2 linked regions of the Rhinolophus ferrumequinum genome follow. The protein of the gene in region 2 purifies or fractionates together with the protein of the main gene of each other region. This does not show direct contact. Links are inferred from orthologs where the notes say so. Each region holds a gene or a part of one and is shown on either strand. Other genes may lie near its edges.

What was found.
Region 1: the proteins of GTF2H4 (region 2) and MNAT1 purify together in Homo sapiens (co-immunoprecipitation; 3 studies listed by BioGRID and IntAct, with this or other methods). This does not show direct contact. The link is inferred for Rhinolophus ferrumequinum from reciprocal best matches to the Homo sapiens genes GTF2H4 and MNAT1.

What each region holds. Positions count from the first base shown.
Region 1 is NC_046289.1:34,221,776-34,229,511, forward strand, and holds the start of MNAT1 (CDK-activating kinase assembly factor MAT1), read right to left. Parts: upstream 3,146-7,736; 5' UTR 3,028-3,145; coding exon 2,939-3,027; intron 1-2,938.
Region 2 is NC_046286.1:1,466,674-1,474,810, reverse strand, and holds the start of GTF2H4 (general transcription factor IIH subunit 4), read right to left. Parts: upstream 3,091-8,137; 5' UTR 2,885-3,090; intron 2,247-2,884; 5' UTR 2,244-2,246; coding exon 2,104-2,243; intron 1,834-2,103; coding exon 1,729-1,833; intron 1,387-1,728; coding exon 1,255-1,386; intron 1,028-1,254; coding exon 931-1,027; intron 842-930; coding exon 753-841; intron 539-752; coding exon 427-538; intron 294-426; coding exon 225-293; intron 33-224; coding exon 1-32. Other genes in the region: DDR1 (epithelial discoidin domain-containing receptor 1), read right to left, coding at 8,052-8,137. UniProt on the Homo sapiens protein: Component of the general transcription and DNA repair factor IIH (TFIIH) core complex, which is involved in general and transcription-coupled nucleotide excision repair (NER) of damaged DNA and, when complexed to CAK, in RNA transcription by RNA polymerase II.

The sequences.
Region 1 (7,736 bases), on a different chromosome or scaffold from region 2:
ACAATAGCCAAGACATGGAAACAACCGAAATGCCCATCAGTAGACGACTGGATCAAGAAACTGGTACATTTATACAATGGAGTATTACTCGGCCATAAAGAAGAATGAAATCTTAGCATTCGCAATGATATGGATGGACCTAAAGAACATTACACTAAGTGAAGTAAGTCAGACGGAGAAAGACAAATACCATATGATCTCACATTTACGTGGAATCTAAAGAACAAAATAAATTAACAAACTAATCAGAAAGAGTCTCAGAGACGTAGAGAAAAAACTGAGGGCTGCTAGATGGGAAGGGGGTGAGGATGAGGGAGAAGGTGAGGGGATTAGAAAGCACAATCAGTAACCACAAAATGGCCACGGGGATACAAGAAGTTCGGGGAATATAATCAATAATGTTGTAAAGATTTTGTAGGGTATTTGATGGACACTTGTCTTATTAGGGAGATCACTTCATGGACGGTGTAGGTACCTGACCACTGCAGTGTACACCTGAAGCTGAAGCTGAAGCTGAATAATAATGAATGTCAACTATAATTATATATTTATATAAAGACATATTTATCATATGATTTCACTTATATATATATATATATAGTCACAGGATGTGGAGTACAGCATAAGGAACAGAGTCAGGGGAACTGTAACAGCTATATACGATGTCAGAGGGCTAGCAGACTGGGGGAGGGGGGTTATCACTTTGTGAGGGGTATAAATGTCTAAGTATTACATTGTTTTGTACACCTGAAACTAACCATAAAGTAAAATAGAAAATTAAATCTAAAAATTAAGCTTTGCTTATAGTTATGTAAACTTCTGTATTTTAGAACTGCTAGAGCTCATGTGCCTTCCTCGGTATCAGCTATAGGCCAATGTAAGGAAGATTAGCCTAATGTTTCCCCTAACTGGCAGGAATTCTAATGGTTCTGGCCCACTGTTACTTACATCCCTGATGAAGAGGCTCAGATCCTAGAGAAGGCCAGGAAATTTGTTTAAATGTCTTTAACAACCAAGACAGGAAAAGGAGGAATAAAGGAACAGTGAGACCAGAGGGTTTAAAAAAAAAAAAAAAAAGTGCCAATTGCCAGTTACAAAAACAGTCACAGTGATGTAAAGTACAGCATAGAGAATATAGTCAATTAATATTGTAACAACTATGTATGGTGTCAGATAGGTACCAGACTTATCGGGGTGATCACATTAAGTTATATAAATGTCTAATCACTACGCTGTGCACCTGAAACGAATATAATATTGCATGTCATCTGTAATTGAAAATTAAAAAAATAATTTTAGTGCCATTTATTTTACTGAAATCACATAATCTTCCCTGATTGGCTCATATCTACTGGGCAGAAATTTCTTCCAGTTAATTACATTTAGTATCCTTCCAAAAAAGTAAATTCCCTTTCCTTGAGCACCGAATGTAATAAACCTGATACAGGAAAATGAAGAGAAACTGAATCTCTCTAAAAAACTAATTGTCTACATACAGTGTTTGCTTCACTTTCCTTTTCCATGCATTCTACTTGATTACTTTTACCTTATTTCTAATCTTAAATCATTTGATCATGGATAAAGGATAAAAATAAAGATTAATTAGAAAAAGAGACCAATTGAGTTAATAAATCCCATTAAATCATTATAACTACCATTAATCATGCAATTTATGCTTACCCAAAGACCTTGTCTACTACACTGTAGATCATCCATCATTTTTTTTTAAAGTGGAAAGAGAGTTGCTTATTAGAAAAGATAGTACACTCTAAGAATTACTAGGAGCGGGCCAAGCACAAAGAAAAGCGGCTCAAGGTTCATTACTAGAAGAAAAAGCACACTCCAAAGTGTTTGGAGCCACCCGGGGGCAAAAGCAAGGCTCAAGAGGCTCAAAGGGCTCAAGAGCTCAATGGCTCAAGGTGGCATTATTAGGAGAAAAAGTACACTCCAAAGAGTTTGGAAAGGGTCGAGCAGAAGAGCTGCTCTAAAGGCACATCCATCATTTTTTCATCTCTTAAGAAACCTCCGAGAAACTTTAGGAATATAGCAATTTACATCCATGCTTTACAGAACTACCTTTACTGACCACAAAAACATGGCAAGAAACACTTGAACCAATTCCTGCACTTATTCTTCAAAATACCCAAACTCAACCTGCCCCCTCCGGCTCCCACGCTCCTCCAAAAATGGGCGTTCTAGAGTCAGACATCCTGTGTTCCAATTCTAGCAGCGTCACTTAATAAGGGACCTTGAGCAGTCTCGGTTTCTTTCCCTAAGAAATGGTAGTGATATTAACACCTACTTCATGGGGCTGTTGAGAGAATGAAGTGACATGATTCACGGTAAAGCTGTTAGAACAGTGCCTGGCACATAATGTGCACTCAATAAATGCCAGCCACTGTAATAAAATTTACTGTCTAGAGTCTATATTTTCTCCCTTTCAGTGATGAAAGTCTAACCAAACTCCATCAGGACAAGTGGGCATACAGACGGGATTTTCAAATTAACTCACACAAAAGCAGCAGTTTATACTCACAGTAATTTTGTTTTCATAACTTTCGCTTTTTTCATTTAAAAAAAAAAATTCGCGTGCAATTAAACACTCCGATCCCCCACGCTTTTAACCAGCGATATGTCTGGCCCCCAGTGGACAATACAGCCTGGAAATATCGTCAAGATTTTCATCAGCTATGGACGGGGCAACCTGACCAGCTGCTAAGTACATCTGGGAACCGGCAGTGCAAAGCAGGCCAAAGCGGCTTAGGGCTAGCGGCTACAGTCAGTTTACAGAAATAAGGTTCCTTTTTCCTATTTTCCTCCCCAGTACCGAAACTAATGACGCCCTGTTTTCCCCGTGAACCGAGGCCAAGCATCTTTCAGCTCTCTCATCCAACCCTGTTCTTCTCATTCCCATGATATCCACTGTCTCCCAACTCACAGAGTGTGTCCGCACACATTCACCATCAGCTTCAAGGAGGGGTTCCGGTATTTGGTGGTCTTACACCGGGGGCAGCCCTGATCGTCCATGGCACCTTCTTTCGTAGGGACTCTCCCCAACGCCGGCTTCAGCCACAGCTCCAGTCACCTCCAATCCCCCCTCAGACCCGACGCTAACCAGGTTCCTACCAACGGGCACTTTGCTGAGACGGTCCCTTAGCAAATGAGCACCGGCCGGGGGCAAGGCCCTGCAGCACAAACGTTCCGGCAGCGAGTTTTCCGGTCCTGTCGCTGGGGTTCCGTCTTCGCTTCCGAGAGCTAGCGCAATACCTTGGATTTCGGGGAAGGGCTTTTAAAATGGCAAATTGTACACAAAGCCTCATCTCAGTGCACCCAGCTGAATTTTTTTCAAGGAACTGTGTCACAATTAGGAACATAGATTCCATCTTGTTATGTCTGAAAACATTCCCCTGGCTTCAAAGATTTATGCCCGGTGTACATAGTAGATTCAATAATTCAAATTTGTATTTTCTTTTGAACAATTTGGTTAGTCTATACTTTATTCTTCTCCTTTATACTTGCACAGTCATGCAAGCACAGAAATACTATGCATTCGCAGATAGAAAGTTTGGAAAAGTTATATAGAATGAAAGTCTCTACACGGACCCCAAATGTTAGATTCTCACTAAATGTCAGAATAGTCTATAAATAATATCTGACATCTGCTCTGCAGAGATTAACAGTGTCACCTGGCCTACCGGCGTCACCTGGCTCTAATATCTCTGACCCTCCCCCCCATCAAAAACAATATTTATTTCCCCAAATACTGGGGTGGAAACCACACAAGAATATACACTATTAATTTCATTAATTCTAAGATTTGAGAGCCTGCATCTCTTTGGAAATGGTAAGCCACATTCACTGCATTTATCAAGACTGCAAAGTGACGTCTGTAAACAGCTCTATTAGATAATAAACTCCTGTAAGGGCACATCTTATTCACTTCATAACAAGGATTTGTTGATACTTACTGAATGAGTAAATGAAAAATGAATGAATGACCATCAAATTGTAGTGTAATGTGAAAAAAATTATGCCAACCATTATCTTGTAATTTGGCCCAAATTCCATCAGAAGTGGGCATGCAGAAAAAGCTTTTCACATTAACCCACACAATGAATACATGCTGTATATACTCATAGTAACAAACTTTCCATAGCATTTTTGCTCTTTTCAATAAAAAGGAACATTCCAACTCCCACCTTTTTTAAACAGTGAACCTAGTAAGCAACTCACAGTGTGGAAATACAGTTGGGGTTTCCATGGGTTATGAAGGCAGAACCTGACAAACAGCTCTAGATACCACATTTGGAAATCAGCAGACCAAACAGGCCATGGTAGCACAGAGCTTTATATAGACAACAGGCCATGGTAGCACAGTACTTTATATAGACAACAGGGATTCCCCTAATAAATAAATCATGTCATCTGCATCATAATATTGTTCATTAATAGGAGTGAACCAAATTGAAGTTTACTAAAATGGGTAATGCCAACTGCTGTACTGACCTGGAAGCTTTCTATGCTGCTGTTGTCTTATTGAAAGAGACCACATCCAAACCAGTTATATGACTCAGAGTGAAGCTCTCTAAGAATAAAGGCAACTTTTAGGATCTTTATATTTTAACAGAATAGGAAACTTCTGGTGGAAGAGTGAATATGGTCACTGAGCAAATACAATTTTTAGCCAATACTACATTACTACAATAATCATGGAGCTAGAGACAGTAGAAAGTAGTGTATGTGGATTTGGCTGGATTAAAGTATAGGCTTCATCACTTACTAGCCACGTGACCTCAGGCCTCAGTTTTCCCAACTATAATTTGAGGATAAATAAGATATTTCATTTAAAGTGCTTAACACAGTACTTAGCAGAGAGTAAGAGTTCAATAACTGTTAGCCATTATTCTTAGTGGTATGAGTATTATTAGCAGTAGTAGCCTTAAAAAGCAGGGTAATGTAATGGGAAGAGCCTATCCTTTTAAATCAGACAGACTGATTTTGCCCCAAATTTCTTACTCGCCCTTACCTGCTTCCTTTGTCCATATAATACACTGCAGGGTTGCTGTAATGACTAAATTACATGACGTGTACACATACAAAGGCCCTACTATAATGCTTCATACATAATAGAAACTCTGAAATGTACACCATTATTACAGGTGGGGTTCACTAACATAGAATGGTCAGAAAGCTTTGAAAAGGAAAGCACTGACAGCATCAGACTTCTGATTCAAAAAGAACCTCAGCCTATGTTAAAACCACCAAACTATCAAGCTTTCTATATTTCTGAAGACAGACGTATCCCAACAATGAACCAATTGAACCCGTTATTTCTCTTCCCAAATCTGCTCATGATCTAACATTCCTATCTCGGTTAAGAGTAAATTCTACTTCTTGGGGCAGTGTATCTCAAATGCAGACCCTCCTTCCCAGTCCCAAGGCTATGGATCTACGTTGGGCTTTCCTCATCTGAAGGGCACATTTGTATATTATCCCTCGCCCATCTTACAGAAAATCGATCCTCTCCCACAGGCTTCTGGTGTTCTAATGGGCCTACCAACACAATGCTGGCTCTCTGGCCTAGGGGTTGACATACAACCCTTCCAGGACCAATCAGAAATCTTCCCTAGAATTTTTCAAATTAACAGTAAGGGGAAAGCAGCAGAGCCTCTTTAATGAAGTTGGAAAATGTGAGCTGGGAATTACTGAGAGCCATGGTTCCAAACCTTCTGGGGACAGCCTCTTTGAAAGACTAAAACTAACTTGGTGAGAAAGGCAGAGACAAGTGACATGGGACAATAAATCTTCAAGTCCAACCAGCTGTATTTCTGCTCTTCACATTGTTTGGTATCATGATCCAATAAATTAATCTTTTTTTCCTAGGAAAATTCAAATGGGGTTTCTTGCTCCTAGAGAAATTCATACGTATTACCACAAAAAGGCAAGAATGCTGCTGTATCTCAGAAATGATGATAGGACCTGACACTCATTCCATCTCTGCCAGGATTTTTCCCTACACTATCACCCATGCAACTCACTAAGTCACCCTCTCTCTCACCTCGTGCTCATCAGCATCCCACAGGTAGATGGCTTAGTCACTGAGAACTTCCAAGCATTACATCGAAGCTTCCCTCTACCAGTCTTAACTCTTTTCCTCATGCAAGTTTGAAAAACCCCAGAAAAGGATTCTGACTGTTTTGGCTTGAGGCAAGTGCCCATCCCTGGACAAATCAACTGTGGCCATCATATTATGCAGACATAGCCACTGTAAATGCACCGCTCTGTCCACTATACCACAGCAAACTGAGCGTTTTACTCAAAGTCCTTCATAGTTTGTCCCCAACATGCCTTTTAAGCTAATCTCCCACCTCACATTTACATAAAACACAACACTTCAGACACACTGAATTACCTCAATATTTCAAATACTATATACCACATACTTTCATGGCTCCATGTTTACTCATTTTGTTCCCTCTGCCTCTAATGAACTTTATCCTGTCCTCTCAAAATTCTTGTCCTTAAAGGCCCAACGAAAAATCCACTTCCCGTTGCCCTCCTCCTCTCAAAATCAGTCTCTTTATCCCCATCACTCCCATACCCTGTAAACTATTTACTTATAAATATGTCTTATCTCCCCCACCAGATTTTAAGCTCATGAGGGTCAGAGACCCCAATCTATTATTCATCTTTCCATCCCTCAGTACCTGATGCAATACTTTTTACTTACTGAGGACTCAATAAATGTTTGGCAAATGAATGATCTTCAGAAATGTTGGTTACATATCATCAACCATTGGTTACTAAGTAACAATGGAACACCTCCTCTACCTGAAAGATAAATGTAGCACCTAACGTTCTTAACAGTACCAGTAAATAAGCTTTCTGAAATAGAAAGAGCCCACCAAGATATAGTTATATGATCTTCCCTCTATCTTCCAGACAGCCAAAGTCAGCCTTGGAAAAGGAAATCTCTATTCATGGTGGCAACACAATTAAATATACTCAAGAAAAGTATAACATTTTGTGCTGAACCAAATTTTCTTCAATACACTAAAATGGCAAAACATTTCCGTATACTGTCATCACTATCTTCAGGCAAGGTGGAAAGATACAGAAACAAGCAGCTTGGTTCTCACTCTCACACAATCCCAGCCTCAACTCTGTTTTTCCAAATCACAACACAGCTTTGGACTGCAAATCAGCACAGCAGACTCAGTGTTCACAACATGGCAGACATAGGAAGTAGAAGCAAATATTCATTAATTTTACAAATAGTTTGGCAAAACCAGTGTTATGAGATTAACTCTACACATGCTCAAGTCTGGTGTCCCATTGTAGTTGACCATGTTTGGGTCAAGGGCGTCCAGTCCACTTTGAATTGCTGCCAGAATGAGCTCTGAGGCTCAGCCTGCTAAAGGAATCCGGAGCCTGGTGTTGGATTTCACTTCTGGTCCTACAGGAATCTCCTCCTGGAGCTATAGAATACCAATGTAGCTCAGGCTACAGATATCACAAAAGGTCACTGCTGCTTCTATATAATTTGTTGAACTTGGTGCTTGGGAGGCACTATATTGAAGACATGCAGAAACCCAAGACATGGTTTTCCAAGTCAATGCACTATATTTGATTGATGATACACCAGAAGAAGACTCCTCTATGACCTGAACTTGGATAGCCCCATAATATAGCCAAATGAATTTTCCTTAGGTATATACAATTGAAAAGTTTCCTAC
Region 2 (8,137 bases):
AAAGAATCACTCATCCCTTCCACAGAATAATCCTGGGGAAGAGAGGTAGCAGCTGGGGTCCAAACACATCCCATGTCCCTCTCCCAAACCACAAGCTCGTTCCGTCTTCCCACCTCTGGCTGTTCCTTCTTACTTCACTCTATTGCCCCATAGCCCCATTGCCCTCCCCATCTCGCTCCCCTTCGGCCCACCCACCCGACCCCCCAGCTCCAGCCCCTGCTTACCTTGCCTAGAGTAGAGAAGCTGAGCTGGAAGAGGAAGGAGAGGATCTCCACTAGGTCCATGCCCCGACTCTAGGGAGGAATGGGCACAGACAAGGGGACGGGATGGGAGGGAGAAAATCAGGGAGCAGTCTGTAGGCAGTAATCTCTCGGTGTGTCCTGAGAAGAGCAGAGCACACCCACAAGCAGACGCTGCACTCCTCACCTGGGCTGTCTGTAGATACTGCAACATAAAGTACCAGAGCTGGGCAGGGGTGTCCAGCAGCAGGAACTGGAAGCCAGCAGAGGTAATGCAGGGAGGCTCTCCGGGCTCGGTACTAGACACGTGGAGAGGGACAATGGGACAGGTGTGCACAGAATGGCCACCAGCCCCACCGACCGCTCACGTCTGCTCTTGGTTTATCTCTCGCTGTACTCCACTCAGCTGTCCTTCTTCAACGCCCTCCAATCCTGACCCGCCTGGACACTCAGTTTGGCAGCGACCCAAGGAGATGGCAAAGCCGGGAGCTGTTGTGCCTCGGGCTTCCTCACCTCTTCATGAGCCCAGCCTGGCTGAGGAGCTGAGCCAAGTCCTGGCTGACAGCTGCACTGGGGGAGCCCACCATGAAGTGCAGGACCACCTGAGGAATGGAGGAGAATAGAGATGCCTCTGGGGTCCATGGGAAGCAGGAGCATAAGCAGAGACACACACAGAGTCGCAAGTTCTCACCTCCCATCGCTCCTCGGCGTACTTGTCAAGTGACGGGACATCCCGGGCATGCTTGTCTGGTCCCAGCTGACTCGTGTCATCAGACCAGGCCTTGCCCCTATGCCAGGATGGGCCAAGAGTAAGGAGCCCTGCCTGTGTCCCCTGCCCACTCCTCTGCCCTCTTTCTACCTTTGTCCCCATGGGCCATGAGTGGGAGGCATTCCCTACACCATGCATCTGGTCCAACTTATTGCTAAGGAGCTGCCAAAGGTGGAGCCCACAAGGTTCCAGAGAGGCCCCTAAGGAGTTCCCCGGCCTAGCTTAGGAGGAGATGGAGTGACATACCCACCCAGAAGGGCAATGCGCAGGTTCTGGCGGAAGATGGGGTTGAGGATGAGGCCCTGGAGACCACCAGGGAGCAGCTGGGTGTGCCAGATACGGAGGCCACTCAGCAGCCCTGTACTTTCCTCCTGAGCTCTGAAACAGAAGCAGAGAGGTGACAGGTGTGTCTGGAGAACAAAAAGAAGGCCCATGAAGGCCTCCATTTCTGCTTTTGAACTAGTAGTCCTTGGATTACTGTTTCACAGAGTGAAATCAATGTCTTAAGGCAAATTTCTTTACTGTAACGCCTGCCAGAGCCTTGTTATAGACCTCACAACTCTCCAAGAGGGAAAATACAGTATACAGTTTCCCAAACTTATTTAATTACAAGTCTTATGGTGTACCCATTAATCTTTCCTGAAAAATGTTCCAAGGAACAGCAGTTGGGGAAATCTAGCCATTGAGAAATTGGTATCTGGCTGGGAATACAGCACTCACTTGCTGAATTCCTTCTTTACCCACAGGGCTACAGCAGCTTGTGGCAGAGGCTGCTCCAGAAAGAGCATGCGCATCACCCAGTTCTTAGCCAGAGGTGGGAGCTCCCTGCAGGGGGAGAGGAAAAATGTTACTGTCAGCAACTGCCTTAGATCTGCATCTCTGCCCTCAACCTGTGTCTTAGCCTCTCAAACATCTCATCTCACCCTCCACCCCTTTACCAGTCTTGCTGCCCCAACAAACACCATCTGTTTTGGCCTGACACACTTTAATCTTTACGCCCTGTAGAACGAAGCTTCTATCCATGATAACTTATCCCAGTCTGCAGGCCCCATTACATTTCCCCACCATGGTCCCTGCTGTGAAGGGCACCCTCACCTGAAGACAGCCAGACAGGTGGCAGGGTGCCCATATAATCGGTCCAATACCCCAGGGCTCAGACCCCCTAGAAATTCCTGCAGATTCCTGCATTGTAGGTGTACTCGGTTCAGCCCACCCCTTGACGGGATGCTCTCCATCACCTGAAAGATGCAAGCGTTAGAAACGCAATCCCTCAATCCATGCCAGTGTCACCCCTCACCTTTCTCATTCCGATCCCAGATCCACTGGCCCCCACAATAACCCATCTTTTCTATGGTTCCCTTTTGAATGTCATTCATCTCCTCTAGTTTCTCCCAAACCTGACTGACTTCCCCTCTTTCCCTGCCTTCTCACCCCACTTCTGGCCTCAGCTCCAGTCTTCACTTGATTTCCAAGTAACAGAATTTTTCATTGTCCCATATTTGCAAAATCATTTTGTGTGCCAGTGATTGCTCATCTTTACTAAGCAGTGACAAAGAGACTTGTTTGAGCCCAATCCTCTCTCCCTACCACCTCTCCTGGTCGGATCTACTTATAAGCTCTACATCTGTCAGACCTTCCCATCTATTTCTTGATCCCACTTCTGCTGGGTACGGCAATAAACTACCTTTCCCCTCCATGTCTCCCGAATCTAATTCCACCTCTTTCCTCTCCTTTTCCCTCCTCCCTCCAAAGACCACTTCACCCCATTCAACCTGATCCATACCGTTCGACCTCCTAACTTCGCTACTTTCCTCCCATTCCTCGCCTCTTACTCAACTCGTACACTCCGCCACCCGCTCTCTCCCGGCCCCCTTACCACTCTGGGTCAGTTCCCCCTCGTGCACCCGAGTCTCAAGCAGTCGCTTAATCGGAACCAGGGCCTTGCACTGGCTCTGGGAAATAGGGAAAAGTATGGTGAAAATGAGAGAAAAAGATGGGGAGAGCGACGAAGGATTTCACAGACAGGAGTTCGGAGCAGGGGATTCAGAAGAGGAAAGAAAAAGTGGGTAGGATAAGAATGGGCGCTGCACTCGCCCGGCGCGGAGCACACTGGGAATTGGAGTTTTGTCCTTCCTCACCCCAGAGCCGGCTGAAGCGCGTCTGACTACAGCTCCCGAAAGGCACCGCGGGGAAACAGCGAGGAAAGAGCCTGGCCTTTCATTGAGAGAGCTCAGGACACCGGAGGCCGGGTCACTTGGTTCCGCGTCTCTCTCCACGCACGCCTCCAACGGCATGTCTAACCGACCGGTACGGGAGGCGGGACCCTGGGAGAAGAAGTACCCCGAGGACCTACTGGCGGAGGTGTGGAGACGGCTGGATGGTAAGGCGCTTAGTTTTAGACACGCACGAAACTGGGTTCCTTGAGCTCAGCTGATCCAGGTGAAATTGGCTTAAAGCGCTCTACAGAGCGTTTTCGCGAGTTAGGAGTTAACTGGATCTAGTTGCCACGTCCACCATGCTCCCGCCTCCCGTTTAGTTAAAAGATACTAGTAAATACAATTTTAAAAATTGTACGCTTTGATTTGATTTATGAACCTATTGCAGCGAAAGGGAAGGGAACGTCTTTAGCCAAGGCCGGAGCTACAGGCTTCCTAAGTTCTCATGAGGCAAGTTTTATTATTCGCATTTTACAGACCGGAAGACCAAAGTCTAGTGAGAGAAAATTTGCCCGCGATTGGACTAGAAAGTACCGAGGCAGGAATATTAAGTACATTTGCCAGGGACGAGGGACTAAAATGGTAATAAGGACTGTCTGTGTAAGACTTTGCCGTGCGTTGTAGCCCACCCATGTTTGTTTCATTGTTCCGTTTCTTTAGCAATCAATGTTTAAAATCCTCAAAGAATGCCACAAAACTGAGAAAGCTTCTTTGTGTTAAGTACAGTTAAAATTAGATTCTGGAAAGAAGTATTTGATAAAATGGACAAAATACAAAGAACTCTTACAAAGCAATAAGAAAAAGTAACATCACAATGGAAAGATTGACAAAATAGAAAATAGGCGATAAACAGAAGAAATACAAATGACTTCAAATGAAAACTCTCAACTTCACTAGTAATTTAGGAAAAGCAAATTAAAGAAACAATAACATATCCAATTAAAAAACGATTAAGGATTGACTACCTCGATGTATATGAGACTATGAGGATACTCATATACTTTTGTTGAAGGTTAATGGAAGCATGCTTTCTTAAGGGCAATTTGGCTGTATATACCAAGGATTTTAATGTGGCTATACTTTTAGGAATGCATCATACTGAAATTCTCCCACCTGGGTGCAAAGATGTTTATTGGAGTGTATCTGTTGTTGCATTATGAAAACAATGGAAACAGCCTAAGTGTCCATTATTAGGAGTTGGTTAGATGAAATGTGGATCGTTACATGTAGAATACTGGAGAACACTTAGAGAGGAGGTCACTATGCATACTGACAACTGCATACGACCTGTCATGAGGGGAAGAAACGCAGATTACAAAATGGCGTACACAATCCAATGCCATATTTGTAAGAAGCTTTCATGTGTGTGTAAAACTCAGAGAGGTCATTTTGATGGGAGCAAGCAAAGGAAGCTGGGTAGATCAGGTCACAGTTCTCTACAATGTGGGGAAAACTCGGGCTACACTGTCCAGAATAGGAGCCTAGCCACCTGTAGCTATTTACATTTAAATTAACTCAAACAAAATTTAAATTCAGTTCCTCAGTCAACATTAGCCCCATTTCAAGTACTCAGTAGTCGCTACTGATTGGATGGTGCAGATATAGACCTTTCCCTCATCAAGGAGCTCTGACCCCTGCTTGGAGGGATGCAGTGGATGAGGGCAGGTGTCTGATGGCAGGAACCAAGCAGACTGAGTTCCTGGAACTGGCCTTCAAGAAGAAAATCAGCGTGGTCTCCTGGGAGCTGAAATGCAGAAAGAGCCCCCTGACATAATAAGGCTATCCAGCTTGTGCTGAGAAAACTTCCTGTGATGTAGAGTTCATGACCTCCTCCCCTCAGGCAGCATCCTGGAGAGAGAACAGAGATCCAGGAGTCGTGGGCTGCTTCCCACCAGCTTCACCCTTTACCATTGTGCTGCCTTGGGCAAGTGGCTTAACCTAACAGTTTTCTTCTCTGTGAAATGGCAATAGTTTTAGCTACTTCCTATGTTGTGATATTAAATAAGATATGATATGTAATAAGCATGGCACCTGGCACATAGTAGATGCTCAATAAACATTTTCTTAACAAAAAAAAATGTAAAATGGCACCCCCGTAGTAAGTGCTATAAAGAAGCGAGTCCCGTTCTCTGAAAGCCTCAAGAGGAGATCTGACCTGGTTGGCAAGTTAGGGAAGGCTGCTGAAGGACAAGCAGGAGTTATCAAAGCAAAGACAGCAGGGAATTGTGTTCCAGATGGGGACAGCATGCTATGAAGTCCTTGTGGCAGGCAGGACTGAAAGGCCAGTGGTGCAAAGAGAGGGTGGGAAGGACCCACCCTGAAGATGGGGTGGGGGCGCTAAAGTTGGCCAAGAAGATTTTGTTCTTATTCTGATGTCAATGGGTAGCCATTCAAGGGTTTGAAATAACGGAATGAGGTCGGATTTCTGTGTTTTCAAGGTCACTGGCTGCAAGGACCAAACTGGAGCAAACTGGAGAGGAGCGGAAACAGATGCTAGGAGAGACCAGGCAAGATGGAGATGGGAAGAAATGAGGGATTGAAGGGAAAGTGGGGAAGCGAAATCGACAGAGCTACGTGATAGACTGGATTTGTGAGGGGAGAGTAGGGAAAAGGGTGTCGAGGATGATCCCCAGGTTTCTGGCTTGTGCAACTGAGTGGATAGTGCTGCCATTCAGTGAGGCAGGAGATGACATGGGAGGGGCCAGCTTGGACACGCTGAGACTGACAGATCTGCACTTCTCGGTGGACCTCTAGGTGGTTGCACAGCTTTAGAGCTTCATAGAGAGTTCTGAGCTAGAGATTCGGGAGTTCTCCGCTCACTGCACGGCTTCCATTGCTCACCATTATGCATTCTGGCTTCGAAACTCTTGACCTGTCAGTGCCCGTCTTAAATCATGGGTCACAGTGACCTGGCCAGCGTAGGTTTCAGCAGAACTCAGATCTGTGTCCTGGACCCCAACGGCCTATAATTCAACATAAGATTAAATTGTCTTTATTTTTATCCTCATTATCCAGTTGGCTCATTTTGTGACTATCAACCATGACCTTTGTTTCACATGGACTACCATCATGTCTTTCCTAATATTTGCAACTGATTTTTCTTTTTCTTTCTAACTTTGTTAAATGTTTTTTTGGTGGTTGTAGCTCATCCTTCCAAGCCTGAGATCATTTAGGCTCTTGCTTCTGGCTCCCAGCGAGACAGCTCACACCCATTGGGTGATTTACACACTTGATCAGCGTAATCCAGGGATTCTCCACTGGGGACTTCCAGACTCGTGTGTGTGTGGGGGGGGGGGGGGGCGTGTGTCCTAGAATGTGGGCTAGGAAAAAAACGACACATCTATTTTTATGAACCTCTAAATTTCTAACTGAAATTTAGCATTCCCTCCAAGTATGAATATGAGCAAAACCCTCAGTAGTGTTAGCGTGTGACTTACATTAATAGACATCGCAGCTATTTTCATATCTCACTGTAGTTGTAGAAATCTCAGAATGTCATTTATCGTTATACTATTTGGAAATGTCAGTAGTTGTTGCTAGATCTTGTTATTAAATATATTTAAAAGAACCACGTTAATATATAATTTTTTAACATTTTTGTAAACTCTTTCAGTTGACTTCCTCTATAATCATGTATCTATACATACACACCCTCCTTTTAATGGGTTTTAAAACATAATTCTGAGGTGGAATCAGATCTCGCCAGGCTGCCACAGGGGTCAGTGGGTCAAACGAGGTTAAGACTGGAGGCTTACTCCACCTCCCTCCCAGCCTCCTGCAGAGCTTGTGTTGGAGTTGACAAGGTTCATACATTCATGTGGGACCTCAGGTCCCACAAGCAAGGACCTGGCTTATGGAGACACAGAACACTATGTTGGGCAAAATACGTGGTAGGAAATGGAACGGGGAGGAGGAAAAAGAGAAGAAAATGGGATGGGGGAAGGGAGGGGCAGGAGGCAGATTTTACCAAAACCCCAAGAAACCTACTCACAGCTGTGGAAAACTCAACCTTTATTATTACCTGCCTAGTGCAGGGGATTAAAATTGCATTGAGCTAGATCCATATATTAGTGTAAAAATCTGTCTCTCTCCCCCCAAAAATGTACAAACCCAAGTGATTATAGAAAAACCAATGTGGCAGCTATGATAGAGATATCCAACCCCCGGGCCCTAGGCCTTTGCTCCCTCTTTCCCCCTAATCCCAGTATTTATTCCACAGAAACATACAGGCTTAGAGAAGTTCTAGCTACAACATGGCAGATGGGAGGTGGGGTTTGGGGGCAGGAATCAAGCCCAGGTCCAGTGTTTCAGAGGATGGAGGGGGAAAAGCCAAAGCTGAGGACAATTCCAGGAGTAGGCACAAGGGAACATCTTTCTCCCGTTTTTGTCCTCCTCACTCCACAAAATCTCAGCCAGTGGGGTCCAGTGTGTGCCAGAAAGAGAGAGGCTGCGGGGCACAGCCTTCCCTCCAGGAACCAGTGTTGTCCAAGGGGGCCCAGGTGCTCCAGGGGGCCATGTCCAGTGTCTGCCCTGTATTTGCCCCCACCCTCCCCAAGGGATGGCTAGAAGAGGTCCGAGACGGTCCCATCCACAGGGCCAGCTGGGTGGGTGGCAGAAGCTTCTAGAAGAGGAGCAGGAAGGGGGGGCAGGAGGAAGGGAGGTCATCAGCTTCCTGGCAGGCCCAGCCCACCTTCGGTCACACTGCGCCTCTCTCAGAGGTGAAGGGCAGTTAGGGGGAGAGTGGAGGTGCCATTAGCTCCTCTTCTTTGTGCCACTGGCTTCCCCGAAACCCTCCCTGAGGAGGGAGGGGTGGCTGGGGGTCATGATTCACGCGGTGTTGAGTGCATCCTCGGCCAAGAACCGGTGCAGCTGGGAAAAGGGCGGTCGCTGCTCAGGCTCCCGGCTCCAGCACC